Coturnix japonica: one gene and its partner. The protein of the gene in region 1 binds, or shares a complex with, the protein of each later gene. Links are inferred from orthologs where the notes say so. Each region holds a gene or a part of one and is shown on either strand. Other genes may lie near its edges.

Evidence for each region.
Region 2: WASHC5 (region 1) and WASHC1 share a complex: the UniProt entries of both Homo sapiens proteins name them as parts of the WASH core complex. The link is inferred for Coturnix japonica from reciprocal best matches to the Homo sapiens genes WASHC5 and WASHC1.

What each region holds. Positions count from the first base shown.
Region 1 is NC_029517.1:125,014,154-125,030,225, reverse strand, and holds part of WASHC5 (WASH complex subunit 5), read left to right. Parts: intron 1-324; coding exon 325-470; intron 471-1,245; coding exon 1,246-1,330; intron 1,331-1,562; coding exon 1,563-1,663; intron 1,664-2,525; coding exon 2,526-2,718; intron 2,719-3,019; coding exon 3,020-3,172; intron 3,173-3,915; coding exon 3,916-4,029; intron 4,030-4,550; coding exon 4,551-4,722; intron 4,723-5,239; coding exon 5,240-5,367; intron 5,368-5,984; coding exon 5,985-6,114; intron 6,115-7,176; coding exon 7,177-7,289; intron 7,290-7,473; coding exon 7,474-7,640; intron 7,641-7,856; coding exon 7,857-7,932; intron 7,933-8,566; coding exon 8,567-8,677; intron 8,678-8,791; coding exon 8,792-8,932; intron 8,933-9,572; coding exon 9,573-9,653; intron 9,654-10,304; coding exon 10,305-10,406; intron 10,407-11,028; coding exon 11,029-11,208; intron 11,209-11,670; coding exon 11,671-11,795; intron 11,796-12,103; coding exon 12,104-12,266; intron 12,267-12,954; coding exon 12,955-13,057; and 11 more. UniProt on the Homo sapiens protein: Acts as a component of the WASH core complex that functions as a nucleation-promoting factor (NPF) at the surface of endosomes, where it recruits and activates the Arp2/3 complex to induce actin polymerization, playing a key role in the fission of tubules that serve as transport intermediates during endosome sorting.
Region 2 is NC_029516.1:52,625,150-52,641,221, forward strand, and holds part of WASHC1 (WASH complex subunit 1), read left to right. Parts: intron 1-8,820; coding exon 8,821-8,932; intron 8,933-9,582; coding exon 9,583-9,729; intron 9,730-13,783; coding exon 13,784-13,920; intron 13,921-14,520; coding exon 14,521-14,656; intron 14,657-15,488; coding exon 15,489-15,693; intron 15,694-16,072. UniProt on the Homo sapiens protein: Acts as a component of the WASH core complex that functions as a nucleation-promoting factor (NPF) at the surface of endosomes, where it recruits and activates the Arp2/3 complex to induce actin polymerization, playing a key role in the fission of tubules that serve as transport intermediates during endosome sorting.

The DNA of each region.
Region 1 (16,072 bases):
GAAGCAAAGCAGCACTGCTGCTTTTCAGAGTGACTGCGCTATGGCTTCAGATACATCAGTCTTACCCGAAGTGTTAACCATCTTTTTCCATTGCTTACATAGAAGAAATCGTATCTAAAATCATTGTAAAAAAGTGTAGAACTCCTCTTAATGGAATATATTTTCAATCATAAAGTAGTTTGGAAAACTGCAAGCTCTTGTTTTAGTAGGAAAGGTTAGTTCTGTTGTAACTGTCACTCTGGTAGTTGTGTATTTTGTGTCCTAGTGAAAAACGGTATGGATGCAGTCAAACATTATCTCTAAACATAAGTGTCTTTTCTGTAGGGGCCTGAGGCGTGTGAAGGCAAACTGGAAGCGAAACCAGAGTTACTTGATTTAGATGAAGAATTTCGTGAGAACAACATTGAAATACTGACAAGATTTTATCTAGCTTTTCAGAGTGTACATAAATACATCGTTGACTTAAACAGGTATAGTAGCGTAAATGCATGTGGAGTTTCTTAAAGTCTTGATTTTTGTGGTTTGCAAAACAATGTGCCGGATCCTGGTGGGTTTGGATTTGTTGTTTTTTTTCTCTTTTGCTTTCCTTGTCGTTATTTTCCTAAACTTAAATCTTCAGTGGAGTTGCCTTAAATTTACTACACCTGCCTGTGGATGCAATAGGAAAAGTTCATGTCATAAGAAAGAATTCCAGAGAACCTTATATCTAAGATTTGCTTTTGCTATTGATTTTGTGTGAAAATATTGGTCTTATGGTAATACAGAATTTTACTGGAAAGCCCTTTACTAAGCAGAAATACTCCGTTCATCCAGATGAACATTCTCTGTTTCTAGCTCCTTTCAAATTGCAGTTTATATAAATTTAACATGTTTCTTGGGGGTATTTTTGGGATAACTTGAAAATATGGTATTTCTTCAGTATTTTACCCTTTGGAGGAGCTTTTCCTTCTCAGTACTTTGTTCTCAGGCTGTTACCCTCTCAAATGGTTATTAAGAGGATGTTATCTGGAATTTATGGAGCCTAGTTCACATAGACCATGTTGAAATGAGTATTTTCCCATCTGGTTGGCTCTAACTAGGAGTTCCATGTGGCCTCTCATTCTGTACTTTGCTGCTGCTTGTACTGCTGTGGGAGGTGTTCTGTTGTCTCTGTTGGCATTCAGAGGAATTTGGTCAATTGAATTCTGGGGAGACATATTTTGAGAGTAAAGTAGCCAATTACCAACTCTTTCTTATGGCTCCTAGATATTTAGATGACCTCAATGAAGGAATTTACATTCAGCAAACATTAGAAACAGTCCTCCTTAATGAAGATGGAAAACAACTTTTAGTAAGTATTCAAAGATGTTGTAGTAGTAGAAAATGAACAGATAAGTGCAAAACTAGAGAACAATTAAAATTCACCAAGAACGCTGTAATGCTGTGGCTTGCTTTGAAGAGGACAACCCAAAGTCTGCAGCCTGCTGTTCTCACATCGTATTGACTGAATAGTTGACATTCTGTTAGTTTGTCAGCACTTGTTTGTCTTTTGATGTTCCTTCATTCTTGCTTTTCTCACACAGTGCGAAGCACTCTATCTGTATGGAGTCATGCTACTGGTCATTGACCAGAAAATTGAAGGAGAAGTCAGAGAAAGAATGTTGGTTTCCTACTACAGATACAGGTAATGCATTTTGGTGTTCAGAAGTAGTCACCACGGAAAGAATGTAATATGGTTTATCCAGTTCACTGAGTTATTGCATTAAGATAAATGGGAATATTTGCACTTCTTTGATCATTCAGATAGACTGATAATTCTGCAGAACTCACTGGCTTTCAGCAGGGCTCCTTGCATTAGCTATTGTTATGGGTCTCACTGCAAAGCTGGAGCTAGAGACTTGAAGTCCACTGGCAAACTTTCAACTTAAGCTATGACTTGCGGCTATAGCACCACGAATGTGAGCTGTGAAGGTAACACAGTTTCCCAGATGAGAAGTTCTGAATATCTATATGGAAAATGCACTGCAAGTCAGACTTCTTGTAGTTACAGTCCTAGATAAGTTGGATCAAATATGAGATTTCCAGAGTGGACTGATAGCATCATTTTGTGACAGGTAGAATCTTAAAGGTTTTAAATGAAAATCCTTTCACACATAACTTAACTAGAAAATGGACTATGGTGTGCCTATGCTACTTCGTTTGCATTTATACTTCTCAGTATATATTGGAATCTCAATGTGAACATATATCAGTGTTCTTGTTTAGTATGGTGAGAACTTTATTCATGGGGTAAACATGCAAATGTCCCCCAGACCTTAATATCAAAGCTAAGTTGGATGGAGCTCTGGACAGCTGGAACTGGTGGGTGGCAGCTCTGCCCACAGCAGGGAGGTTGGACATCGATGATCTTTAAGATTCCTTCCAAGCTCAGCAATTCTATGATCTGATCATTTCTCTTGGAGGATGAACATTGCTACAAGGGAAGTGGAAGGAGGAAATGATGAGGTTACACAGCTCAGTTTTCATTCCTTCCTTTTGTAAAACAGTGCTGCTCGATCCTCTGCGGATTCCAATTTGGATGATATCTGTAAGTTGCTTCGGAGCACTGGATACTCAAGCCAACCTGGAGCTAAAAGACCTCCAAACTACCCTGAGAGTTACTTCAGCAGGGTACCCATAAGTGAAACATTCATCAGCATGGTTGTTGGCCGCTTGCGGTCAGATGACATTTATAACCAGGTGAGTTATTGTGAGAGAAAAGGGATCTAAAACTGAGTGCCAAGTATTGGGTTAGTATTGTAACCTGTAAAAGTTAGCAGACGTCTCCACAGTCAATTTCTATATTCTGTAAAATATGTCTGGTAAATACACTGCATGTATAAGCATGTCCAGCTTACCTGCATATCCTTATCTTGTACTGTGCTATATGCTGTATGTGTGTTGATGGATAGACAGTACTTTTCAAACTGCTTCATGATACTTGCAAGTGCTTTATGTTGTGTTATGTTATATTCTGTTTTATTTTGGTCTCTGTTCCCAGGTTTCTGCATATCCATTACCAGAACACCGCAGCACTGCCCTGGCTACTCAGGCTGCTATGCTCTATGTGATACTGTATTTTGATGCTTCTATTCTTCACACACAGCAAGCAAAAATGAGAGAGATAGTGGATAAATACTTTCCTGATAATTGGGTAAGATATAATTTGGTTTTAACTTTTTTCTCTGGGTTTTATGTTATAGAAGCAAGGTACTTAATTTTTACAGTATGCTTTCCAACCCCCTCCCCCACCAAACTAGTGTGCTCTGTGTATCTCTTCTGATTCTTTTTTTGGAGCAATCTTACGTGGTTCAGAATGAGGCACTCTGAGTCAATCCTTCTGGATAAGTGAGGACTGCTGCTCTTTAAGTATAACAATTACTGTTGTAAATACTTAAATCAGCTGTATTCTGATACCATCATGGTAAAGTGCTTCATAGAAAAGAAGACCTTCCAGTCTACATTGTTCTAGCTTCTGATAGTGTCTCCTTTACATTTTCCTCTGTACTTCTGATCCACATCTGGCTTTGTCTTACCCGTAACTTCCATTTAAGCAGTAGAAGCCTGCAGTCAGACCTCTTAAACCTTCTTTTCTCTATGTTAAGTAAACCCAGCTCCCTCAGCCTCTGCTTCCGTAGTGAGTCCCATCCTTGTGGCCTTCCACTCAATTCATTCTAGTTTGTCCACGCCTGTTGTGTACCAACGGGCTCAAATACAGACACACTACTCTAAATGGAACCTCAAGAGGGCTGGCAAGAGAGGAGCGGTCACTTCCCGCAATCCACTGGCCACAGTCTGAATGGTGTAGTGTGGTGTATAATTAGTCTTTATTTTCATAAGGCCATCTGCTGTTCGTGCCTATAACATATCACTTTCTAACGCTTGTTTTCCGCCTAGGTTATTAGCATTTACATGGGAATCACTGTAAATCTAGCAGAAGCATGGGAGCCCTACAAAGCTGCTAAAACTGCCCTCAACTACACACTGGACATTGCGAATGTAAAAGAGCAGGTACATAAACCAGATTTCAGTATTTTTAGTAAGATTTCAGTCTGTGTAATCATTTCAAATATCTATATTTTTTCTCATGTATGGAGTTGCTTGGATTTTATTCCAGTAGAATACTTTGAGTAACTTATTATCTATAAGAAGGTTAAAAATACTTTGGAATCTGGAGTTCTGGTCCTCTTAGCATTGCTTGTTTCACTTCCTCTTGTGGTATTTAGTTCCCTCGTGAGAGTTTCAAGGTTGTGACTTGACAGAATAGTTGCTGGTGCTCATCACGGTGTTGTTCAGTAATGGCATATCTTAAGCTCACTATAGCGTTTGTTCTGTCCTAAGTAGCTGTTTTAGAATTGATAGTAATAGAATAGCTAGATAGTTTTAGACAATGCGTCCCAAGCTTGTTTTGGGAATGAGAACACTTTTCTTACTTTGTCCCCATTAAGTTCTTGGAAACTTCAGCCACTTTATACATAGCGCATTCCTTGAGAGACAGCAATTATATTGATGCAAACGTTTTATGTTCTAAGGCGAACAGGTACGCTGCAGTCACTGAGCGAGTGCACACTCAGGTGCAGCAGTTTCTCAAAGAGGGCTGTCTAAGGGAAGAGCTGGTGCTGGACAATATTCCCAAGCTGCTGAACTGCCTGCGGGACTGCAATGTAGCAATCAGGTGGCTGATGCTTCACACTGCAGACACAGGTAAGAGCTCATGCCAGACTGTTATTTCAGAGTTGGCTGTCCTGCTGCACTGATGCTTCATCTTACGTCCCGAGACAAGTTCACTGTGTGCAGTCAGCAAAATGTCACCTGCTCTTTTTAGTGGCTTGTTGAACCGTTATTTTGTTATCATGCTCCCAAAATCATTATCTGAAATAAACATGCACGTATTTCCTTATGTGAGATGTGTTGCATCTCTGTGAATTTTCTATAAGTCTTAAGAAATGCTGAACTATGGGCTTCTGAATAAGGAATGCTAAATTCACTCTTGGTTTGCAGAAGCCAGCAAAGGAGTTTTAATGAAGCCAAAGCAACCCATAAACCTTTACCGTTTAAATGCACGGCTATACAAAGGTGATAAAATCCATATAAACGCAGGATAAGTGGGGATGAATCTATGAGACCAAATTGTTTTTGCTTTCAAGCTATTAAATACAAGTTTATATACAAAGATTGAAGAGTTTGGCCAAATTCTATACTCTTGTCCTTCCTTTTTCAGCTTGTGATCCAAATAACAAACGTCTCCGCCAGATAAAGGATCAAATTCTAACAGACTCAAGGTACAATCCCAAGGTTCTATTCCAGCTTCTCCTGGATACAGCTCAGTTTGAATTCATTCTGAAAGAGGTAACGTGCTACTGCAGTAGTACATTTATTACACAGGATAGTTAGAAGCAATGGATTATTTGCATTTAATCATGGGCTTTCTGTAGAGAGCTGCAAATGACTGCTGACTTTTTCAGTCTTCTCAGTACTTGGCAGTTTTTATTCTTTCTGAGTGTCTTTGTATTTATTGAGAACTTTGCATGAACATCCTGATGGTAAGCAGTGCTAATTCTTTTAATAGGTCAAATATCGAAGACTATGCTGAACTTTGATTATATACTTTTTTGGATAGAGCGTCTCTGTGTAGGCTGATGACTATGTGAGGTATAAATCTACATTGGATCAGTCTCTTCTAGTATCTGTAATTAAAAAAAAGATATAGAGTATTCTATAACTGGCTGAAACCCAGCAATATCTGTGTGTGTACATATGCAATTGATTTCTATCACAGGATGGTCATCTCACTGACCATACTTCTCAGTGCTTTTAATTTCATTATTTATATTCTGGTCAGGTCTTGAAGTTATGCAGCTCTCCCTGTAAGTCAGTTCTATCTGTTTCCAGTATTTTATTTCATTTCATTTTCTTTAGTGTGTCTTTTTGCCAGTTTCATAAACCAAATGCTTTGTTATCAATAGATGTTCAAGCAAATGCTGTCAGAAAAACAAGCAAAATGGGAGAATTACAAAAAGGAGGGATCTGAAAGGATGACTGAGCTTGCTGATGTCTTCTCAGGAGTTAAGCCTCTCACAAGAGTTGAGAAAAATGGTAATGACAGAAAACTGAACCTATGGGGGAGGAAAGGAAAAAGTTTTTATTTCTAAGCTAATACTGAAAGAAAATAGATGAGGTTAATAGAATCATAGAATCACAGAATTGCTTGGATTGGGAAAGGCCTTCAAGATCATAAAGTCCAACTGCAACCTGACCATACTACCCTAACTAACAACCCTGCACTCAGTCATGTCCCAAAACCATCCGGATGGTTTTTAAACACACCCACCTCCCTGAAGAGCCTATTCCAGTGCTTAACAACCCTTTCCATAAAGAAGTTTTTCCTGATAACCAACCTAACCTTGCCTTGGCACATCTTGAGGACATTTACCCTTGTCCTGTCACCTGTCAACAGTGAGAAGAGACTAACCCCGCTCTCACTGTGAGCACCTTTCAGATACTGGAAGAGAGCAATAAGGTCTCCCCTCAGCCTCCTTTTCCCCAGACTAAACAGCCCCAGTTCCTTCAGCCTCTCCTCACAGGGCATATTCTCCAAGCCTTTCACAGGCCTTGTTGCCCTTCTATGGATCTGCTCCAGCACCTCCATGTCTTTTCTGTACCAAGGTACAGATAATACTGATATACATATAATACTGATAATACAAAAAAAAGATGAACGTGCCTTAGATTCCACTGAGGTCTCTTACGTGTTGTGTTGCTTAGGTTTACTCTGTATATTCTGTATGTAAGCCTTGGTTAGGTTCCTAATATTAAGATGTAAATGTAAATTCATGATTTAAAGGACTTCTTTGTACAGATTTTGTAATGCCAGTTTGTTTCTGTAATTGTTTCACTGTGTTTTATGATATTCACCTGAGGGTTTGCTCTTTTAAAAGTCTCTGCATTGAAAGGCTGGCCGTGTAAAAAGTGAGATGAAGACTTTGTAAATACTCTCCTTTATGTATAGCAATTAGGGCTTCTTGGTTTTGTTTTTTTTGGGAGTATCCTAGTGGACTGTTTGGGGTTTTTCTGTTACTGCCCAGCAAGTTCCCTGCATCATTACTTCTTTACCACCCATGGAAATATTTGATTTATTTTTCTCTTGTTCTTGCCTAGAAAACCTTCAGGCTTGGTTCAGAGAGATCTCCAAGCAAATAATGTCTCTTAACTATGACGATTCCACTGCAGCAGGCAGAAAAACTGTGCAGCTGATACAGGCGCTGGAGGAGGTATGGCAAAGGCATGTTAAGATAAATGATAATTTACAAAACAGATCTTCATTTTAACAATAAGTGAAGTCTGTGTATCTCTGTGGTTTTGTATATACAGTCATCAGAATAGCCCATAGACTTCGTGATTGTAAATGAAGGGATACAGTATGAAAAAATTGTGCTTTTCTATTTGTAAATACAGGTCCAAGAGTTTCATCAGCTGGAAACTAATCTACAAGTTTGCCAGTTTCTGGCTGACACACGCAAATTTCTACATCAGATGATCCGAACTATCAACATTAAAGAAGAGGTTTTGATCACCATGCAGATAGTTGGCGATCTTTCTTACGCATGGCAACTAATTGACAGGTATCCCAGCGGGAGGCATTTCTTCCAAGTCATAGAATCATAGAATCACCAAGGTTGGAAAAGACCTTAAAGATTATCCAGTCCAACCTTTCACCTGTTACTAATAGCTCCCACTGAACCAAGTCCCTCAACGCGTTTCTGGATTGCACTGTTGCTAATGACAGATGAGTAGTTCCAGGGGAAGGAGCTGATTTGTTTTCTTTGTTTCCTACTCAGCTTTACATCTATTATGCAGGAAAGCATAAGAGTCAGTCCCTCTATGGTAACTAAACTCAGAGCTACTTTTCTAAAGGTAAGTATGAAGGTATATGAAGGTATTTTAATGCTGCAAGACATTGTTTGTTACATAGGCCTTAAGACTATAAAGTCACAGTTTAAATCACTTTTACCACTATTTTCTGTATCTAGCTTTATTTTTAGAATAAAATTACTGAATTGACTCAAGTTTAGTTTTTGTAAAGATAAAACCAAATAATGTGTGTTTCTCTATAGAAGCAGTAACATCGCTGCTGTTAGACAAAATAGTCTCATCATCCAGCCTCGATACGTTACAGTAACTTGGTGCAGACATCACTTCCAAAGGTTGAGTTTTCTGCATGTGTATCAGAGGAGACTGAGGATAGGTTGGTTTGTGCTGTTTGTCTGTCATGATGAAGATCTGGCATCAAATAAAAATATTGTCTGTAGAGTTAACTATGGGAAATAGCACAGGGAGAGGGGAGTAAAATTAGAGGGAAAAATATCTCATGCAACTGGTAGAATGAGGAATGTGGAATACTGAACTTCTTGACACTGTAATAAAACACTGCTATTTAGGAAGAATGAAGTATTTGAGTTGTAGCTAAAGAGCCCAGGCATAAGAGTAGAGTCACTTAATTCTTATTAGGAAAGCAGACATGAAGTCAAAATGTTCACTTTGTTCCTAGCTTGCTTCTGCTCTTGACCTGCCGCTTCTCCGTATCAATCAAGCAAACAGTCCTGACCTTCTCAGTGTATCACAGTATTATTCTGGCGAGCTGGTTTCCTATGTAAGAAAGGTAGGCATTTGAAGAGATGTCAGCTCGTTCTATGCTTATTTGTCCACAACTTCTGATTTATTAATATTTTTGTATAATGTAGTGACTGTTTGTCTTGTCTGTCTTTTTACAAAGGTTCTACAGATAATTCCGGAGAGCATGTTTACTTCTCTTCTCAAAATAATAAAGCTTCAGACCCACGACATTATTGAAGTGCCTACACGCCTTGATAAGGATAAGCTGCGAGATTATGCTCAGCTCGGACCACGATACGAGGTGCAGTTAAAACAGGGAATTCTTACAAATCATATTACATGGGGTAGTCAGTATTCTATATATTCTTTTAATTTTAAGGAATGAGGGGAATAACTACTTGTCTTGCATAAAGCTTCTCACTTGTGGCTTCTGTAGAACTGCATTGCCTCTGTTTGACATTGTAGATGTCTTAAAGGCAAATACTGGCTTTTCTGAACTCTGAGCATAAAGGTGCCTACCTAATAATTTAAAATTAAGTGAACGTGCTGCAGTATTTTGTTAGTGGAAATACTGAGGTGGATTCATTGCTAGCAGCAGGTTTTATCACAACTTCAAGCTGCTCCCCTTGGCCGCTCAGAGACACTGATTTGATGTTTTATACACATGATGCAGCAGGCCATGTCTCCCATAATCTTTGTAGAGCTTCTGAGTAGTGCCTGATCTCTCCTACTGGTAACATACCTATATCAATCCAATTAAAAGAAAGGTTGTTATTGCACAATAAGACTAGAACAAGATGTAAAATTGGAAGTACATCAGCGCAAATCACATTGATCTGCAGCAGGAAGCTACCACTGGAAAACATGTGTAACTTTCTGGAGCAATTATTTGTATCTGTTAAATCACTCGAATAACTTTTTATCCTCTTTTTCTATTAAAGGTTGCCAAGCTAACCCACGCGATTTCCATTTTCACTGAGGGTATCCTCATGATGAAAACTACGTTAGTTGGGATCATCAAGGTAATGTTCCTTTGTTTCAGTAAGAAAAAGTCACTTGGTGACAATTAGCACTTGAGCACAAATACTTCTGCATATTAGGCAAGACTTAGATAGAAGATTTAAAGAAAAGAAAGGAAACCCAAGAAAATATGAGCTTGCATACAGATCTTCAGACAGGTGGTTGGCATGGCATGCAGATTAGAACTGTGTTATTTAGGATCATTAAGGAGCTGCAGTTCTCCTTGTAAATAAGGTTCATCAACCTTAGTTGATATCTTTTTTCCCACTTTTCTGAAGAGCTGCTTCTTCCATTGGCAACCACTGTTCTTCCTGTATCTTTCAGGACTCCAAAAGCAACCATTCTTGAAGCAGTACACAGTTCTTAATATGTTCTGGTTTTTATGATTGTACAGCATTCTTAATGGATCATTAACAAACCCTGAATATGGGAACAACAAACATTTATTATTCAACTTAAAGGAACCATTTATTATCTCACAGAGGTACCTTAAGTATTTATCATCTGGACAAGCAGCTGGTGGGAAAGTGTGTCTGTGAGCACTGCTTTCCTATTACAAAATCAGTATTTAATGTAGCTCTTGGTAAACCTAATATCCTTTCATATTTTTGATAATTTTCTGATTTTCAGAGAAAAATGTTTCTTCTACTTAGGTGGACCCAAAACAATTACTAGAGGATGGAATAAGGAAGGAGCTGGTGAAACGGGTGGCTCTGGCTCTTCACAGGGGACTTATCTTCAATCCTCGAGCCAAGGTGTGTAGCAGCTTGATTTTATTTGATTTTGAATTTGATTATTTCTCAGCTTTCCTGGCAACTCTCTTTATTGTACTTCCTTCTAGGAAATAATTTTCTGTATAGATTTCCTTCATATAAAAAGGTAAATTTCTCAACTTCTTAAGGGTAGTTTGAAATGCCTTGCTTTGTGTTAAAAATAATGTATAGACGAGTAAGAGTGCATAGAATTTGAAGACCTATTTTTGTTCTGCTCTAAGGGTGCTTTGAATTGTGAGTTCACAGTTCAGTCCTTGTGGTGATTCATAGCAACATGCCAAGCAAAGAACACAAAAAGAAACAAGCAGAGTAAGGATTATGACTCCTTTTGTTCCTGTCCAGATTGTCAGATCTCTCTCGTAGATCAATCAATAGTAGTACTCAATCCTTCAGAAAAAGTTATATTTTTCCTCCTGTTTCTAAGAAGAACCGCTTGAAACGTCAGACAACCTATGTCACATTTCCCAGTGTCTTTTTACTTCTGGCTGGAGCACAGTGAAATGTGTGGAGCTCGTGGGTCAAAAAGGCATTTAGAAGTCTTGTATATCTTCTTTGTATTCTATTTATTCACCATTTTACTTTTATTGTCTTCTTCCCTCCTTAGCCAAGTGAACTGATGCCTAAACTGAAAGAAATGGCAGCAACAATGGATGGATTCCATCGATCGTTTGAATATATCCAGGATTATGTCAATATATATGGCTTAAAAATTTGGCAAGAGGAAGTGTCTCGTATTATTAACTACAATGTGGAACAGGAGTGCAACAACTTCTTAAGAACAAAGGTGCCAGTCAAGACCAAAAGTCAATAAATGCTCTTACAGTGGGATGCTGAAGTTTGAGTGATAGAACAATTGTAGTCCATCATGCGCAGTATGATGTACATACAGTACAGGATCACAATAGTCTCCTGTATATCTGTAGTTCGCCATCTGTGCACAGACGCTGTAGTTGCCAGATCTTATGGCATTTCACAACTAGAGGGGTGAATAGATTTTTGTTTAGCTAACAGAACAGCGGACAGTTTACCACAGAAAGAAGTAGATTAAATTCCTGCTAGGGGTGGAAGTCATTTTCTCAGTCTTCACTCTTACAATTTGCTTGCCCTTTGTCATAAGATTCATTCTTCTCTTTATAGTGTTCTGCTGTGTATGACCTACTGTGTTGTTCTGTGTTGTACTCTTGGTCTTAAAACAATTTTGGGAGCAAAGTAAAAATGTAAAATACTCTTAAAACTTATTTTTCAGATTCAGGACTGGCAAAGCATGTACCAGTCTACTCATATTCCTATACCAAAATTCACACCTGTAGATGAATCTGTAACATTTATTGGTCGTCTTTGTAGAGAAATCCTGAGGATCACAGACCCTAAGTAAGTACTGTGCAGCGCAAGCTGTATTAAAGCTGTATTAAAGCTGCTTGCATTAAATTAGTTCAATTCCACTGTATTCAAGGGAAATATGCAACAAATGGTTTTTATTTGACTGAAACATCGTCCTATTTATCTAAAACGTTTCTAAAATTTACCTGATCTGCCTTCTACCTTTTAAATAGTAGAGTAGAAAAGTTGTGATATTAGTAATAGAAGCAAAACAATGTGGGAACCCGTGTTACTCAGGTTATCACAAAACCTGTCTGCAGCTTGTTCTGAAATATGTTATTTTTTCAACTCTTCCTTAGGATCACATGTTATATTGACCAAATGAACACCTGGTATGATGTCAAAACTCATCAGGAAGTAACCAGTAGTCGCCTCTTCTCAGAGATACAAGATACTTTGGGTACCTTTGGTCTCAACGGTTTAGACAGGCTGCTGTGTTTCATGATTGTAAAGGAGCTGCAGGTATTTCTTGTACTTTAGTTTCTCAAGATTGCATTGCTTTCATTGCTGAGTACCTTTGCTAGTGAAATATGAGTTCTGTTGACTTTTGGAAGTCAATTTGACTTTTGTGATTTCAACCCCAAAGGTAGAATGTCAGTTGTGGGTGGAAGACCTGTTGCTCTAGAGTAAATGGAGCTGGTGAGTGTAGGTTATGTGTTACACAGTGCCTCTCAAGCATCAGTTTCTGCCTGTGCATGCTCAAATTTGACCTCGGGTCAGGTTTTATTTTCCTGTCTAGATATCAACAAGAAGATTGGACTGTTTGAGTCCATTTTGCTATAAATACAGTGTCAGTTCTTTGCAGTGCCTGTGATGCAAGTCTTCCTTTGAGAGAACTAGTCCTAGTTAAAGATTTTGAATCAAATAAAATACTGATTCCTCCTTGAAATGAAATACTGAGTTCCTCCTTGGCAGTTGAACACCAAATGGTCTGCAGTGAGTTTATGCATTGAAGAGGTGTAATTGTCCTAACACTGATGAGTGTAATTCAGCAAAGCAAGTGGACTGACTACAGGAGTCCAGAACTCTTCATTTGTGGAAATACTTTCCTTGCTTCTTGTCCAGTGGCAAAAGAGCAATGCTGAAAATGCTGTTGTGCCATCAAGCATAGCACACATGTGAGGGTTTTACTTGTCTTTCTTTTATTTAGAATTTCCTCAGTATGTTTCAGAAAAACATACTACGAGACAGGACAGTCCAGGATACATTAAAAGCTCTTATGAATGCTGTCAGCCCTCTCAAAGGAATTATAGGTGAGTGCTTTCTGGTTAAGATGAAAGGAAGCTGTTGTCTCGGGACGCTTGCTTTTACCTCTTCATTTTTTTTGTTTTTGTTTTTTTCTTCTCAGCAAATTCCAACAAGGTTTACTCTGCAGCAATTGCAAAAACTCAGAAGATCTGGACTGCGTATTTAGACTCCATAATGAAGGTAGGCTGACACTGTTCACTGATGCATCGGATCCACTCTAAGCTTTTGGTTATGCAGGGGAAGAAGAGAAATGAGGTGTAACGAGGACTTTGTGTGATCTATTTTACTATAAACTGTATGTTGTTACTCTTGCAGTTTTCCCTTAGTTTGTATTTCTTCTTCCCCCACTGCATTCAGTAAAATATAACACTTCATTGTCTCTTTTTTGCACAAACAGGTTGGTCAGATGCAGATCTTAAGACGGCAGATTACCAATGAATTAAATTATTCCTGCAGGTTTGACTCCAAGCACTTGGCTGCTGCGTTGGAAAATCTCAATAAGTAAGAAGTAAAACGTGTTGAAGGGCTGCATGTATCATTACTGCACTGTAGTTATTTGGATTGTTGTCAGCTAAACAGCTCTTGAGATCTGTATTTTGGCAAAATAGGGAGTCTGACTGGACTAGATACTTCCAGGGTTGGGACATACACAACTTCTCTGGGCAGTCAGTTTTAGTACCTCACCACCCTCTGTGTAAAGAATTTCTTCCTAATTTCTAATCTAATAATCTACCTTTTTTTAGCATAATGCTCTATACGTCTTTAGGTACTGGAAAGCTGCTGTATGATCTCCCTGGAGCCTTCTCTTGACCAGGGTTAACAACCCCATGTCCCTCAGCCTCTCCTCATAGACAGGAGAGGTGCCTCAGCTCTCGGATCATCCTTGTGGCCTTCCTCTGGGCTTCGTCCAACAGATCCATGTCCATCCAGAGCTGGATGCAGTGCTATAGGTGGTGTCTGCCCCTCTGCTCTGCTCTTGGGAGTCACCTCTCTTGCTCTGATGGCAATGCTTTTGATGCAGCCCAGAACACAATTGGCCCCTTGGGCTGCAAGCACACATGGCTGGCTCACATTGCGTTTCTCACTGACAACACCACTAAATCCTTCTCATTAGGGCTGCTCTCAGTCCGTTCTTCACCCAGTTTGTATTTGGGCTTAGGATTGCTCCAACCCAGGTACAGGACTTGCATGTGGCTGTGTTGAACTTCATGAGGTTTGTGCATCTCAAAGGCTGTCCGGGTCCCTCCAGCATGTTATGCACAACATACACTGGATGATAAATAGGAACAATGAAAGCAGTGTTAATTTCTAAACAAAACTGTCCTTGTAGAAAGGTTTAAAAGCAAGGTTGTTTAGTCTTGCTTGTAGCCATTGGCAGGTTTTGTGTGCATAAAGAGTTGTGTATGAATGAGATGTGTCATCGTGTGAGGTTTATTTCCGCATAGTTCAAGTAAGTGTTTAATGCAATTAACTGCTTTCTCTTGCAGAGCCATACTGGCTGATATAGAAGCACATTACCAAAATCCATCACTGCCTTATCCTAAAGAAGACAACACTCTTCTGTATGAAATCACAGCTTACCTGGAAGCAGCTGGCATTCACAATCCATTAAATAAGGTCAGGCTGACATTTGAGGGCTTGATGTAATTTGCTTTTCTCTCATGTTGTTAATTGAGGGGGAACATGTTATGGGAAACGTATGTCCTTTTTATTTTCCTCTCTCCTCAGATCTACATCACAACAAAACGCCTGCCGTATTTTCCCACTGTCAACTTCCTGTTTCTGATCTCACAGTTTCCAAAACTTCAGTACAGCAAAAATTTAGGTACTGTACGGGTTGTCCACTGTCTGAATCTAATGAAAGCCTATGTGAAACCATCTGCCAGCTCCCCATTAGCTGTGTGGTTCAGCATAGTGCGGTATGGTGTAGGATGTCCCCTTGGCCCTGTCCCTTCTCAGCTACTTGTGCCCCCCAGCTCCTTCCTGCAGGGCAGCGTGAGAAGCTGAAACATCCTTGGCTCAGTGTAAGCACTGCTCTGCAGCAACAAAAACATCGGTGCTATCAATATTATTCTCATCCTGAATACACAGCTACTACGTGGCAGCTACTAGAAGGAAAATTGACTATCTGAAAGGTGCTTACAGTGAGAGCAGGGCTGGTCTCTTCTCACTGGTGACAGGAGACAAGATGAGGGGAAATGGCCTCAAGTTGTTCCAGGGTAAGTTTAGGTTGGATATCAGGAAAAACTTCCTTACAGAAGGGGTTATTAAGCGCCAGAATAGGCTCCCCAGGGAGGTGGTTGAGTCACCATCCCTGGATGTGTTTAAAAACCATTTGGATGTGGTTCTCAGAGATATGATTGAGTGGGGGGTTGTTAGTTAGGGTACTATGGTCAGGTTGAGGATGGACTCAATGATCTTTAAGGTCTTTTCCAACCTGATTCTATCTCTATGATTCTATCCTAGCTAAAACCACGACTTAGTAAAACAAAATAAAGTGGTGCAGGAAACAACATCCAAACTTCTGCCTTTGCCATTCCACCCTATGCCTTTGTTAATGTCCCTAAGCCATTTGCTGTGAGAGAAATACAGTCGTGACGTTGGTTTTTGATTTTAGTGTGGACAGGCAGAACAGGCCCAGAAGAAAATCTTATGAAAATACATAACGCGTTCTGCCCCCAGGAATAGGCTGCTTTATAAACATGTGCTTTGGGGTTTGTTTTGTGTGCAGGCATGGTGTGCAAGCGGCCAGCTGATCAGATTGACTGGCTTCCCTTAGTTCTGGGGCTTCTCACCTTGTTGAAACAGTTCCACTCAAGGTACACGGAGCAGTTTCTGACTCTGATCGGTCAGTTCATTCGTTCAACGATGGAGCAGTGCGTCAGGTATCCACATTTCACTTTTCCTTATGTCACCTCCACTAAGGGCTTCTGCTGCTTTTTTCTTAGCGTAGTACATTCGGCGTAATAATACTGTTTGACTTGAGTCTAAGATTAAAGTGTGTCTCTTCTTGTAATGGA
Region 2 (16,072 bases), on another chromosome or scaffold:
ATAAAGAAAAGAAAAATTGGCAGGAAGTGGAAGCGCTGGTCATCTGTCTGTGGTGCTGATCTCTCTCCTATGAGGAAAGGTCGAGGGAAATGGAATTGTTTAGCTTGGAGAAGGCTCTGGGGAGACTTCATTGTGGCCTTCCAGTACTTGAAGGGAACGTACAAACAGGAGGGGGAATGGCTGCATAGTGATAGGACAAGGGGAATGGTTTGAAACTGAGACAGGGGAGGTTTAGGTTAGAGATTAGGAGGAAGTTTTTCACACAGAGGGTAGTAACACTTTGAACAGGTTGCCCAAGGAGGTTGTGGAACCCCCATCCCTGGAGGCATTCAAGGCCAGGCTGGACGTGACTCTGGGCAGCCTGGTCTGGTGGTTGGCAGCCCTGCACATAGCAGGGGATTGAAACCAGATGATCATTGTGGTCCTTTTCAACCCAGGCCATTCTATGATCTGATGATTCTTCCCGCTACTGCCTCAAATGTCTGTAACTATTATTCTCCTCTAGAAATAACCAAGGAAGAATAAATTTTAACAAGGTAGTGTGTGCTTCACACCAAAAAAATAAATAAATAAATACAAAATTTCTTTCCCTTTTTCCTTGTTTTGTAGCCTGCAGGTATGGCGCTATCATCTGATTCTCCCACTCTTCCTGACACAATTGTTAAGTTGTTCTTTTCTTATACAAAGTGATAGCTCTACCTTCTCAACCAGCTTCAGATGCCGGACTCTCACACATGTGTTGGAATCATTTTCTCTTCCTATGGATGAGTTTTGTCTATTCAGTCAGCCCTGAAGGAAGAGTTGCAAACAAGTCACTTTGTTTTACAGGCATGACTTCCATCGGGGGTCTAGTGTGGAGAAAACTGTCTGGAAAATAACACCAAGAGGCTTGAAATGTGTTTTACTGACTCCCACCTCTATAGATGGTACTGTGTGCACTGTGGAGAGAGTTGGGGGAGGATACAGCAGTGCCAAAGGTCTGTTCTTCACACTTGACTGGCGTATTAAATTCTCTTTCTGCAGTCCTTCTTTTTGACTAGCTGTGGTTCTGTCATTGGCCTTTTTCAGAATGGGGTAGGTTAGAGTTTGGGTGTAAATGCAGTTGATGGTTGAGACAGAACAGTGCTTTTGGAGGCAGCAGGTCAATTTGCAGATGATAATAGAGGAAAAATAAGAACTTGTTAATGTTAATCCTCCAAATAATCAATTTATTGAGGGAATCTACTGTTCTCTGCCATTAGGGAGGGGAGAGAATGCAGGATTTAGAAGTAATGTGTGTTAAAGAGAAACCCCAGGAGGATAATGTAGTGTCTTCTGAGTTCAATGCCATTCTTAATTTATTCACGAATATGATCCTTATTCTGGATTAATAAATATTTTAAAAGGCAAAAACATGGTTTTATTTTACTTTGAGGAATTTAATTTTTCATCAAGACTGAAAGTAAGAAATGCTTGAGGGGCCTAAGAGGCATGACAGGACATTACTTGTAAGAAAAGAAGGTAATGCTGTTGCACTTCAGCCTAGCATTAGTGCAGCAATAATAGCTTCTCTGGTAATCAATTAAATGTACGTAGCATACCTGTCATTTCAGTAACTCAGCATCAAGACCAACTAAAAAATTCTTGTTCTATCTGTTGCTTTGGCCCAGTGACTAGATTTCTCTGGCTCCACTTCAACAACAGCGCTTTTGAAAGTAGCATCTTGGTTTTAGACCAAACTCAGGACTTTTCTATGTGACTTTTTTGAGAGGCAGTCTGAGAAGCTTCTAACTCCTGTTGGGGAACCAAGCACTAGGCAGGACTTTGTTTGTTCTTTATACAGTTTAGGAAATGAAATAACAAAACATCACCAAAATCATACCTTTCATTATGCTTCATGCTTACTTCGTCTGCAGGGGATTAGCTGCTGCTGAAGGCATTGGTCCGTGAGAATATTTATTGTGTTAATATTTTACAAATAGAGTAGACTAACAGAATTTTTGAATTTACAGTCCTGGAAGTTTTGTGGTGGAGAGGGAGGATTGCAAATTATGCTGTACAAATTTGTTCTGGTATTACTGCAAAAGCAGTATGTCCATTGTTAATGACTGTTTGCATGTCACCACTTAGGGAAGATGGATTTAAAAGGATGCTGAGGAAGATGAAATCATGTGTCTAGAAATGTTCTCAAGGTGATGTCTGATGACTGACGTGCCACAGAGATCTTCACTGAAATGATAGAGCAGCTGTCGAAGTAGAAAGGTTCTGCTTTTCAGTTCAGTTACGAAAAGCCTTCTTGATGGGGCCCAAAGTTTTTTGGGGAAAAGTAACCAGAAATGTCTTATAAGTACTTTAATCACTCAGGAAAGGTGTTGGATGAAAAACGTGATAAAAAGTTACTCTTATTTTGTGGAGCACTTAGGCTGAAATTAGCTTGTTGATGGGCGTATCGTGGAAGGTGCCTTTTGAGATTTGAGTGTGACTGCAATTGATTATAGGAAAATGAAGAAGTAACATGAATCAGACCCTGTTTGTGAAGTGCAAATATTTTGAAATGAAAAGCAACATTGGCAATAAATAAGGAAATAAATGTTTCTTTTACAAGAAAGAAACCCTTTTTGAAAGAGAGGGATATGTTACGAGAAGTTAAAATTGGAAGGCCAAGTTGAGAAAGGGAAAAGGTATAATTAGCAGTGAGGTTTCTTAGCAAAGACCTGGTAACTATTTCTGAGAAAGCAATTCTAACGTGGTTGGGCTTATTTTCTTTGTAAGACCATTTGGAGGGGAATCTTGAGTCAGCATTGGTTGTCACAGGATGGTGAGGAGGATCATTGTTGAACAAAAGCAGTGAGTGGCTGTGGTCAGTCCATAATGCTTAGTTTCTGCTGTTCTGTCTTGGTCACTCTCCACCCCTGCTTCCTGCACTCTGACCAGCCCAGGCTTCTCCTTCAGGCCTCTCCATGGACTGCAGCTCCTTCAAGCCTCATTTGCTGCTGTACCATGGGCTCCTCCATGCCTGCACATGGTGCCCATGGGCTGCTGGAGGACAGGTCATCTGCTACAAACCAGCCTGACATCTTGTTCTGTATGCTTAAGATGATGTGGGCTTGCTTTCCCGTTGTGAGGAAGACTCTGCAAATGTCAGTCTTGCTTCCCTACTTCATCACTGTGTTGTAGCAAGGCTTCTCTGGTTCCAAGTGAGACAGGGGGTGGGGAAGCTGACATGGGCTTTCAAGTGCTAGGCTCCTATTACCACATTCAGGTGAAGTTCTGAAGCTTCAGCCAATTTGGTCTGGTGTCTCGTGCATTTTTCTCTCACAACCCCACTTGGGAAAAAGCACGCATCAGATATTTTAGTCTGGAGTGATCTGTCTTCTCTGACGTCTCCTGACAGGAAATGTGGAGTGAGATCTTGATTAAGAGTAAAGGGCACAATGAAAGAGTTGTCTGTGTAGAATCAGATATGGTGCCAGATTGAAGACTGTTCACCACAGGGTCACCTGGATTCCACTCCGAAGTTTCCTGTGAAGGCTTTTCTTGGGAGAACAGCGCTGCAGAGGAGCATGTATTGCAGTGACAGGTCATCATTTAAAACACTTTCCATTTCTGCGTAAACTTAATTCCCAGTGAATGAAGTTCTTGCTTCACCTTGAGAAGGATCCTTTTGGATGAGAACATGACCTCTGAAGAGCAGATCATGCTGAGGGTAACCTGACAACCTTCATCACCTTCCAGGCTGCAAAACTGTTTGGCATTGCGGGAATGGGGCAATATGCGAATGCTGGAACACCTGCAAATCAGGCTTAAGGAGCAATCAAAGTGTGATAAACATTAATTAGTATAATACCCAAACCCTTAATGGAGGAAGGAACATTGATTGCACTGTCTCACTTGGGATTTCTTTCTGCCAGAGACGATGTATGATGACAGCTTCTGATTACACTTACTCAGACATGAAATAAGACTTTAAAAACTGCTTAAATATGAAGGAGAGAGAAGAGCAGAAAGCAAACAAGTTGATCTTTCTTTGAGTGGCTGGACGTGTTTGGCTTTCTGTAAAAGCATACGTTTTTGCTTTTTGCCTTCCCGACTTTTAAGGTAAACTGTCATTGTGAGATGGCTTTGAATGCTTCCCTGGATTGCTGTAAACAGTGAACATTTTAGCAGCTTTTCGCTTGCCCTCACCATCTCAATTCTGCAGTGTTGTTGGCTGCTGGGTAGAGTCATTTTGTGGGAGTGGTGAGAAGGGGACTCTGGCTTCTCACAGTCCGTTTCTGGCTGTGCTGGTTGTTGCACTAAGGCTGTTTGTAAAAGACACTCTAGTGCCTCATTAAACATGATTCTTTGTTAGCCAGCCGGGATGCACTGTGGTATTCTAGCCTAGCTCTCTTGGCTTGTTTCGGCCTTAGTGGACTCTGCACCTAAGCCCTTAGTTACAGGTACCAGAGGTATTAGTTGATCACTTCAGCAACCTGGGGAGCAGCCTTTTGGAAACCCATTGAACCTTTTCCTAGAGGTCTGGTGGTATATCATTGGTCAGCAGTGGCACCCTGCTGGTTTTCCTACCAGTAATTTGGATACGTGGCAGCCAACAGTGTTATTCTTCACCGTTACCCTGTTTCAGCACCAAGCTCCTTGTAGAGTCTGGGGATGTATTACATTTCAAGAACCATAAACACCGTCCCTTGTGATTCAAGGGAGGAATTTAATAAAGCTACACTTTGTAAGAAAAAAATAAATAAATGTAAAAAGCAGCTTGAATTTTGGGAAAAAAGCCAAGGGTTTATAGAACAAATTTACAGTGTGTACCTAGAGGTTTAGAATAACAGTGCCCAGCATCTCCCTGCTATCTGTCAGGAATGGAGCCCAGGCTGGGAGGAGACCAGAAATCTGACTTGCCGTGATGTGATCAGTCCTCATTTAAGGAACAACAACAACAACAAAAAAGTCATTTTATACTTTGGCTGCCTTATCCTCCTGTGCAACTTCGTTTCTCATTCTGCTCTGTAATGTTCTTTCTCCTTGGTTGATTGCTTACTTTTGTACTTCAGACATGAAATTGAAGTTCTTTGGTATTCCAAAGAGGTTTGCTCCCAGGCTCTGCTGGCTCACCTTTCTCATTCACCTTGATGTGGAGTTCACTTCTTCTCTCTCCTGTGTCCTAAGTTTTGTTGTCCCTGTCACTTTTGGGTGATGTGTGTGCTGAACATGGACAGCAAAGGGCCTCTTTCTGCTGTGATACTTCTCTCCAGCTCAGTTCTCTTTCCTCAAGCTGCTTTGTTCAGTCATTTTTCTGGTAACCTGTCAGCCTACCTTCAAATCTGCTCTGATTTTATTTTTTCTGATGCTGTCTGATCCCAAGCAAATATAGATGATAAAAATCTCAGTTTTAGCTTGGCCCTATGGACTGCTTGGAGACTAAGAGGAATATGTGGTTAATACCACAGCGGGTAATTGACAGGAAGCATCTTGTGTCTTTCATGCCAAATCCCGAATGCTTCATGTGGTTTTCCCGTGGGAGTAAGAGAACAATAATCTTTCCCCTCTGAGCGGGCACAGATGAAGCAGAGGAGATTTCTCTGTAGCTGCCTGAATATGAGGATTATCAGAGAAGTTATAAGGAGATAATAGGAAATGATAAACTCCATGGCTGCAGATGGGCTGGAAGATGCACAGCCTGTCAGGGCAGTGGTGAGGAGGGGGGAGATATTCCTGAGAACTGCTGTGGATGTTTGGAGTGAGTCTCCTCTAAAATGGGGAAGAACGTGAGGCAGCAAGGTGAGGTTCTAGGAGAAGAGGATCCCTCAGCTAAAGGTGAGGGGTGAGTGGGGCTTGACAGTATAAAGATTTTAGAGGGACAGAGGATGTGAAAGCTTGAGTCAAAGCAGCCGAAAGATTGGCTTTAATATCTGCATAGATAAAAATAAAAGTCTCTGTGGATTAAGAGATAATCCACTAGATAGATTTAATCTGCCACATGTATTACTTCCCCAAAGAAAAGCACTGGGATGGGAAGGTTGCCTTGGCTCTGTGCCCGGGTTTTGAAGGCAGGTGAATATATTCTTTCTCCTTCGGGCCCCCTTTTCCCTTGTCCCCAGTGCAGGGGAGGGCTGTCCTTGTGCACCTCCTGCTTCTCTGCAGCTCTGAAGTCAAGTTGAATCTAGCTGCGGGAGCTCCTGAAGCAGAAAAGAGTACCGAGAGCAGAGTAACACAGCAGTGACTAATAAGATGGGCACAGGGTAGCTTCAGATGGTGGTTGTGTTCTCAGCTGCCTGGGAACAGGATTCTGAGGGGCAGTAACAAACCATTTTATTAATATTCACCCTTCCTGCCCATCCTGCCATTGTGTTTCATATGAACACCACTGAGTAACTCAATCCTTTCAGCATGGGGACTGAAGTCTCAATGCAGCACTGCTTCGTATGCTTTGCCCTGTAAATCCTTGGGTACACAGTCCTCCAGCCCTTCGTGTTTCTTGTCTTTACAAACACCACTTTGACTGTAACTTGAACTGTGCACACGTAGCAGTCATACATTCCTTGGAGTTTGTGATGGAATGTCATTGATCAGTTGGATTGAGAGGGTTTAATCATTTTCTGATAGTTACCTTGGTCAGCAAGAAATAAAGCAGTTCTGGTGTGTATTCCTTCTGCCTTGCGTTCTGTGAAGGTGAATCTCAGGTGAAGGTTTTTGGCAGATCTCTTAATGTCAGACTGGCAAATCCTAGAGCAGGGATCATAGGAGAAATCACAGATCACAGGGTGCTTCTGGGGGCAGACAAAGTGACTTGAAACACCTGAGCTGGCACTGAATCTCAGAATCACAGAATGACCCGGGTTGGAAGGGACCTCAAGGATCATGTAGTTCCAACCCCCCTTGTCTGGCAGGGCCACCAAACATACACCTTTACTAGATCAGGTTGCCCAGGGCCCCGTCCAACCTGGTCTTGAACACCTCCAAGGATGGGGCATCCACAGCCTCCCTGGGCAGCACTGGACAGCTTCCTCGCCGTGTGCATGGAGTAGGCAGTCCTGTAGTGCCATTTTGTGGGTGACTCTTAATTATCTAGGAGTAGAAGGGAAGGATGAAGCTGTAGTTGAGTTTCTTCGGAATGGAGAGGAAGAGGTGGTACCTGGGGTGTGTACATAGGTAGCAAGAGAAGAAATTGCCAACTCGTTTGGCCTGCTTGCATTCTGGAGTAATAGGATGGAGAATGGGTACTGGTTTTCAGGCTTTGCTTAAGATTTCCTTCTGGAAGAGAAAGGTTTGCCTCATTGGCCTCTGAGACCTGGGTCTGGGAGTCAGCAGAGTGATGACTAAAAGTGTTTGACACCTTCTCTTAACTTTGAGCTTTTGGAAGGCTTTGCCAAGTTCTTTTAGGACAGAGGTCTACTCACAGGTGAGAGGGAAAATGACATCATTGATTTGAGGGAGAGAGGCAAAGCAGAAATAAATGACTAGTTTTTTTCATCTTTGGAGGAAGTAAAAATAGGCAGGTGCCCCCAGGAGCAGCTCTGGGAATGAGGTCAATCAATACGATTATGAAACATCTGCAAAGGAAGTCAACTGTGAGGTGGGAAAATTGGCTGGAAAGAACAGTTAGAAAAGATTTAGTTCCTCGGGAAGCGTCTCGTGCTTTAACAAAACAAGGCAATGGGACAGCCTTGTGACACATGGAATTTGCTGCAGACAGGTGCTAGGAAATGCATGCTGAAAGGAACAACATAAGCTACTCTGAGAACTATCAAGTATATAAACGATGTGGACTTCCTCCGCTGAGTCGGCGGGAGGGAGTGGGAAGGAAACCATGAACAGATTTGCATTTAGTGTTGGTACAAAATACAAGCTGTTAGGCTGTATTTAAAATAAAAGGATAGGGAAGTGGAGGATTCTACTGAGAGGTGGGATCTCATGAGGTTCAGTTTTGCTCATCTCCCACTCCAAATAGAGTAGAACGGGCTGTTTGCTCTCCTGCCCTGTGAACGAGGGTTTTCATGCCTTCAGAAAGAGGGGTGCATGGTTATAAGCAAGTAGAAACACTTAAATCTGGCTAGAGAAAGAAATGGGGGTCTTTCTGAATGAAAGGGGTTGAGCTGGCTGCTCTCTTGCTGCAGCCAGCAGGAGCCTTTAGTGGAGTCCATTTTTGCACCAGGTGAAAAGACAGCTTTGGTAGAGTTGGAAAGTGTTAATGTTACCTTTGTTACTGAAAGGGATTATACAGACAGAAGGAAAACAGAGCATAGGAGTTCTCTGCTTAAGTGCAAAGAGGGACTTGGGGATGGAGTTTAAAGAAAAGACCAAGATTGATTTTTACAGGCACAAAATGGTCCGCTGGAACTCGTTACTACAAAACAATGCTGAAATGAAGTACTATGTCTCCTGAAAGACTGTGGCCACAAAAATATTCTGTGCTGGTTTTGCTGAAGGGATGAAGTTTCAGAACAGTTGTTAGCGTTTGAGCTTGAAGTGGGGCTGCACCTAGTAGTTATGTATGGAGGAGGAGGGTCTCTTCTGAGAAGCTTGTTATCAATTGATAACTGCATGTGGCTTTCTTGTTAGCTGTATCTGCAATGAGGCAGGGGGGTTTCTGCACTCAGTTCTCCATCTTATGTTCTGTGCCTCAGCAAGGAGAATGTTGCACAGAGTTGTTTTGTTTCATGTTGGAGCACGTGAGAAACTCTTAATGGGACCAAGACAAGTATCTGACCCAGTGCTATCTTGCCTTGTGAGACAACCCTGACCACTGAGATTCATATCCTTCCCTTTGGTGTGGCCACTGGCTCTTGCCAAAAAATCTCTGGCTTTGGATTCTTACCCTTTAGCAATGTCCTTGTTCCTTAGGATCTCTCAGCGGGTGGAAACCAGCCGGGCACAGCTTCAGGCAATCAGTGAGAGAGTCACGCTCGCACAAGCAAAGATTGAGAAGATCAAGGGCAGCAAGAAGGCTATTAAGGTAGTGACTCCAATGAAAGCTGTCTTCCCTCCTTCTTTCTGTCTTCTATCTTTACCTCTGCAGAAAAACAGCTGCCCATCCACCTCTCTGTGCGTTGCTGCTGAGCAGGAGCTGTGATGAGAATCCCCATTTTGACAAGGCCAGTTAATGATTCTTCAACCCACGGACTACCCAGCTCCTGGCCATATGAGGCCTAAATAAGTTGTTGCCTTAGCTACTACCTTTGAAATGAAACAGCTTTGTGCTTCCCTATGCCCAACGCCCTCTCATTTCATGTTACAATCTTGCATTATTTGAATAGATAGACAGCCTCCCCTCCAATGCATGTTTATCTGTGTAAAACTAGTGGAAGTCTTCTTTAACCATTCCTGCTGTATTTAATGCAGTGTTTCCAGTTCCCTTCCTACACTTTGAAAGCCTTTCTGCCTCCTGTTGCTTACAGAGAGAGTGAATGTTTGGCATTTCAGCTTTCAAAACTGATGGCCCTCATGATGGTTTCTGTAGAAATAGCCCTTAGGAGCCTGTTGAGTCCAAGGCTCTCCATTCCCACGGGCATCACAGATCATGTGCCTTAATCTACTCCATGTGTTTCTACAGCAGAAGGTTGCTTAGTTGCTGGGATTTTGAAATCCCTCCTTGTCTCTCCTCAGGTATTTTCCAGTGCCAAGTATCCTGCCCCCGAACGGCTGCAGGAGTACTGTTCAATTTTTGCTGGTGCAGAAGACCCAGCTAAACAGAAATGGCCAAGACACAAGATCCAGAGCAAGCACCGAATGCTGGATGAAAAATCCTTGCAGGTAAGGAGGAGGAGAAAAGACCATGAGATGAACAAGAAAAGAGAAGTCTCCTTGATGAAGTAGACCAGAGTTTTAGGTGTAGGTGGGGAGCTGAACAGCTGTTGTCTGCAGTAGGTAATGTTTAAGGAGGTGGTGGTGTCAAGTTCCTTGTTTGTGTACTGAGTGACAGGGAGATGCGTCTTAGGATGGTCTGAGAGGTGATAGGTTTGATGTGAAGGAACTCCCCAACAATTTGGTTCAAAGTCTCCTTGCCTGGATTGGAAAGAAGAGAGGACAGGTTGGTATCTGTAAAGGTTACTGCATCTGTACTGTGCCAGGAGTAGCAGATGTGCTCGTCCTGGCAGGTCAGGGTTCAAGCTGTCAGCTTCCCTGCTTTCTTCCCCTTAAGAGACTTGCTTCCACATCCTTGTATGCCTTGACCCAAAAATAAACCTGCCACTGAATGTTTTATCACGTTAAACCTTCCTGAGTTTTAATGGAGTTGAGGTCTCTGTACAGCGAGGGAGTTATGAATATTTCAGCCAGGCCGGGAAGTGGGGCTGCTGGCCGAATGGACATCTGGCACGCTTGGGCAGGGTTTGTGCATCCTTCAAAGCCTGGCAGTATCCAAGGGCACAGCTGCATGGGACTTGTCAGCCAGCTGGGGCAAGCCAACTGCTGTTGTGCTGGCTGTCTGATGCCCCCATCCCATCAGACAGCCTACAGAGAGCAGAGGTACACCAGCATTGACAAGGGAGGGACTGGTACAGACCCTCACATAGGGGGAAGACTGAAAAGAGAATTAACTGGTAGAGGCAATGTCCCACATAGAGCAAATGGTGTGCCCATTTGACTTGCCTGCTGGTAAGTTCTGCATGATCTTCTTTGTGGCCTATGTCACTCACCTGCGGTGCCACCCTTCCCCTCACTAAGGTGATCTCTGTTCCATTTTGGAGCTATGCTCTCCATGATCAAGGCTGCCATCACCACAGGGGCGTTTGCAGACCTCATTGGATGTTTGTGCTTCTTCCCTCCTCCTGTGACTCAGTTCTCCCGTTGAGCTATTGCTTTTTTGGGAGGGCCCACAGCTTTGTCAACCATAACTCTTTTGTGGGGTAGGACAGTGCTGTGCTGACAGCTTATGAAAGATAGAAGGACCTGCAAGAGCGGCAGCTGCTGTGCAGTGGGGCTCAGCGTGGTTCAAACACCATCCAGGGGGACAGGGCCTTCTCATCTACAGCTGAGCATGAGCCTGATGTGCCTTGCAGTAATGAAATGTGACAGAGAGAAGTCTAATGTTTGCATTTATACCCTCCTCAATTATTCAGGGCTTTCAGCGGAGGCTCACTGCCTGTTTTCACTTCTAATGAGGGCCTCTTTGCTGGGAGCAGTCACGGTGGCCTTTGCTAATTTCACACACACACACACACACACACACACGCACACTCACACCCCACCAGGAAAGCAAGCTCTGCTCCTGTCATTTTGAGGGTAAGTAATGGCAGCCTGTGCTGAGTGCTCAGGGTTGGTGCTCTGAGGCGAACTGTATGTGGTTCTACAATTTTGTTTTAAAAACACTTCCCTTCTGGGAAATTCTCTTTTGCCCTCCATTCCACAAGCAAATGAAGACTCGGCTGGTGAGAGGACAGAGGCATAGGTTGGTAACATAAGCACCGACAGATGTAGATAGGGTCCTTATGTTAAGCCTGATTCACTGTGTATATGGCTGCGTTAGCATCTAGGCGCAGTTAAATGTGAGCTGGCTGCAGCCTTTTAGGGCTTCTAAGGTGCTGGACACTGCCTTTATGGGTGGGATATGTCTGAGTGCTGCAGGGTTCTCCACTGGGACTGGGGAGAGGTCCGACTGAAACTTGCAGGTTACTGGAGATACCTCATTAGACTTCAGCAGTGTCAGCAACCTGAGCTGCCCTGTATGCTCTGCTGAGTCCACCATAAGAGGAGTCAAACATTTCCTGACTTTTAACTGCTTTTCCAGCTAGCCTCCATTAGCATGAGAGGGAAGGGGTTTCTGATGCATCACCCCAATTCCCATCATAAGATTGCGTGTTAATTAAACCTCAGAACCAGCATGACTTATGTATTGTTAACCATAGGCTCTGAGGGAAAAAAGTGTCTGGAAGTGCACCATACACCATCCTGCTAGGTGCCAAATCACCATGTCCAGGTGTTGGAGCATTCAAGCACACTCCAGGACTTCAGTACATTGAGGCTGATGAACCTTTGGCTTACAGTCTTCATGTCACTTTAAGAGCACTCATTCTTAAGTGATATGCCAACCTGCGGAGTTCACAGTTGCAGGATATTATTGATGACAGGTACCTGATCTGAATATCAAAACAGATGTGGATATTTTAAGGCTTGCACTTTGGTGGCATTTAAATTAAAAAGATTTACATTTCAGAGCAGTACACTTGGTGCTTTTATAACTGCCTTAGATTAGACTTACAAGTAAATGTAGGTAATGGTTGGTTTCTCGCTCCACCCTTGAAGTGACACACAGTCTTCCAATGCTTATTGAAATCAACAAAAAGAGAAGTAAAATATATATATGTATTTGACGCGAGGGCTAAGCGTGTGTGAACAGTTCTGCAGGAACATCAGTGCTCCCTCATGCTTAACAAATCAAGTGTTGCAAAATGAATATTAATGATCAAAAAAGAACCTTTGTTTCTGAATCTCTGCTTCGAGAGTCTCTAAATAACAATTGACTCGTGTATTTTTGCCTATGTGCTGCTGCAGGAACACAAGGTGTTCGTTTCAGTGTATTTTTCACAAGTTGGAATCTGTTATTTGGAGGCACCTCCCAAGTCTTTTCCCACAGCGTTTGTAGACTCAAAGCACCGTACAAACTTGTGGTGGGTTTGCTGAGCTGTGACTAAGCCATTTCGCAGGATTTCTGACTACTGAATTCAAACCTGAAATTTCCATTAGTGGAAACTGCTTATGTTGCTGAGCTGAGGTCTTGAGGTCTTAAAACTGAACCAGCAATGGTCTCCAATTCCCCCCTGCAAGTATAAAGAACATCTGGTAATGCTGGAAGTAGCAAGGCATTAAAAGGCTGTGGGCAGCGTTGGAAGCTGTATCAGCATGGAGCTGAGAGGCTGCTGCTTGTCCCAGGTTGACCAAAGAATGAGTCACAAGGTGCTGAGGAAGGATGTGAGGAGGGGTCTAGGAGGAGAGTTTGCTGTTTCATAGGCTTTCTCTGGGTTCAGGGACAAATTCCTTTCCTCCCTGTAGTGCCGTGCATGCAGCAGTATGTTGTGGTCACTGAACATCATCCCCCAGAGCATCTGGCAGCGGGTGCTGTCATGCTAGCTGAAACGCCGCTCTGATCTGGGATGGCAATTCCTGTGCTCTGTAAAAGTCAAGCAGTTCAGATGTAATAAGTGCTTTTCTAAAGGGAGTTCTATATATTATGCATGAAGTTTTAGAACCAAGAGAGAGGAGATTTCAGTTCATTAGAGTTGAAAACTCCTGCAAATCCCTCAGGCTTTGCAAAACCATCTGGCACGTTCCACCCTGCGCACTCCTGATCTCTCTCCTAGTGAAGACATGCAATTTTTCCCTAACCTTCCTTTGCCTTCTCTGCGTACCCCACCAGTGGGATCACCCCTCCTAAAACATCAGGTGAAGGCAGCAGAGGGGAGGTAATAGAGATGTCTGGGGGCTCTGCTTGCATGAAAATGTCTGGTATCTCCCAGCTGGAGACACTATAGCAAACGCCTTGTTCAGACAGAGATGCTCAGTCCCTCCCTCTGGTTATAAGAACCCAAATGGCTGTTTTATTTTGATGGATTCTTGCCACTGGAAACACCAACAGTATCACCCATCTGTGGCACCAAAGACATATTTTATGGGCCTGAACGGATGAGATTCGTCACCTGGGGTTTCAGTTTTGTCTATGTGCTTTCTTGCTCAAAGGGAGGTAGAGAGGGGGAAGTAGAATTCCCAGACTTGGCAGTGGAACCATTAGTGCAGGTTTTGGTGGCTGGGGAGAGCCCACTGGCTTTGTTTTTTTGTAGTGTTTTGCTGCCTATTATCTGTCTTCTTGCAGGAGAAGCTCAAGTACTTCCCTGTGTGTGTGAACACCAAAATTCACCAGGAAGATGATGCAGAAGAAGGTCTTGGCAGCCTCCCAAGGAACATCAGCTCCCTCAGCTCCCTGTTGCTCTTCAACACCACGGAGAACCTGTGAGCTGGCTCAGTACCATGCTTGCCACCTGTCTCTGCTTGTGCCCAGAGGAGCTATCCCTGCCCCAGGGCAGCGGTGCTGCTTGCTTTCCTAGGGATCTTGCTTAGCAGACTCCTGACAGGACAGTGTTTGGTAGCTAGCAAGCCTTTCTCACTCACTCTGCTCCATGGGTGGAATCCTCCACTCACCTGCCTTCAACCCAGCTTAACACTTGTTTTTTTCCTGTCATCATCCTGTAAGTTCTCACCAGCCTTGAGAGCTGTTGTCACTTATACTCTGCCCCATTTGCCTGCTTAGGTACTTTCTCCTGATGGCTCCTCACAACAACATTTGACCACTGTCACTGCTTTAATGTCTCCATTGCCCACACACGCTGCACTTCCCTTTCCCATCTCACTTCACCTCATCCTTCTGCCCACACTGAAGAACTTTAAGTCCTAGCTGAGCTTTCCGCTGCTGGACCTCCTCTTTGTTCCCACTGATTATTTCCCCTCTTTTTCTTGTTCCACCTGCTTGAGTGACTAGGGAGCTCTCCTTCAAGTCCTTCTTGGCTAACACTGTTGAGGTGGCCTCGCTGAAATGTTTGCCTTCTGCCCTAGGTACAAGAAGTATGTTTTCTTGGATCCACTAGCAGGAGCAGTGACCAAGACCCATGTGGCTCTGGAAACAGAGACAGAAGAGAAGCTTTTCGATGCTCCTCTCTCCATCACTGAAAGGGGACAGCTGGACCGGCAGGTGAGATGTAGCCGAGGGGATGTAGTTGCTTCCAAGTCAAGGGTATGTACTTAGCTTTCCTAGAGGAGGAAAAAGCTTTTGTAGGGTGGAGAACAGTAGGGCAATGCCCCACCCCCCGTGGCTGCAGGGTAACTTGCTTATCAAAAAGACCTTGCCTATTTTTGTGCCTGCAGTCCTGATCTGTGCTTAATGGATGAGACAAAGCCCTTAAACTTGGCAGGTGTCTCTCAGTCATTTGCTGGATGGTGTGAGAAGTGTCATGTGATATGATTCACCTTGCTGCTGGACCTCAAAGTTATAGAGGACTTTGGAGACTCCATCACTTGATCATCTACCTCCCTTGTGCTAATTCCAGTAGAGGAGTGGCTGTGAGGTGCCACTGCTGGAAGGTGCCTGAGGGAAGGCTCATGCCCTATTGTTCCTGCTGGAAAGGGCCACTTGCTAATGAAAATGGAAAGGCCAACCAGCCTGAACAAAGGGGTGTGATGTTTGTTGTGACATGGGGCAGGCAGGGCATCAGTCTATACTGCCCCCACCTGACTGACCTTGTAACAAACACCCTGTAGTGACTGTACCTAGGGCTTTATTGGTGTATGGTTGAATGTGTGGTTTGGGGCTGGGGAAAGGAAGCTGGGAGCTTGTTGGGTCAGACTGGAGATTGTGTTTAGAAAACAAGAGCATAGAGTTGTATGGCCAGCTGAGGGCCAGCCACAGTAGCAAAGCCTACCTGAGAGCCCAGCCTTGGCTGTCATCCACGCTATTCTCTGCAGTGCCCCTGCTTGCTGCAAGGAAATGGAGTGCCTTCACAGCACTGTCCTTTTGTTTCTTTTAGGTAGCTGAAAATTACTTCTATGTGCCAGATCTGGGCCAGGTCCCTGAGATCGATGTGCCATCTTACCTGCCAGACCTGCCTGGCATTGCTGCAGATCTCATGTACAGCGCTGACCTCGGCCCTGGCATCGCACCATCTGCTCCAAGCAGTGCTATTCCAGAGCTGCCGACTTTTAGCACTGAGTCAACAGAGCCTTCACAAGCAGGTATTTCCAGTCACCATTCCAAGGACCCTGTGAAGGATGAAGTGGGAGGGGTTCGCTGGAAGAAGGTGGAACAAGGCAGAAAGTTCCTTAGTGGAGAGGTCAGAAGGGTGCTTTTGGGTCTGAGTCAAAGCTGCAGCCTGCTCAGGTGCTGGCCAGACTCTGGGCCTCTTGCCTCAGGTGACTGCAGAAGCCAAGGAACACTGTGCAGGGAGGGACTGGACTCAGAGCATCAAGGTAAGAATCCCTTGGGTGAGCTGGACAGGCCCAGTGGAATGGAGCTGGGGAACACAGTGAATCTCAGCCCCTGCCTTGGTCATATCTGCTGTAAGAGATGCTGCACAGGGTGAGAGTGCATGGTGCATGCTGAGGGACTTGTATG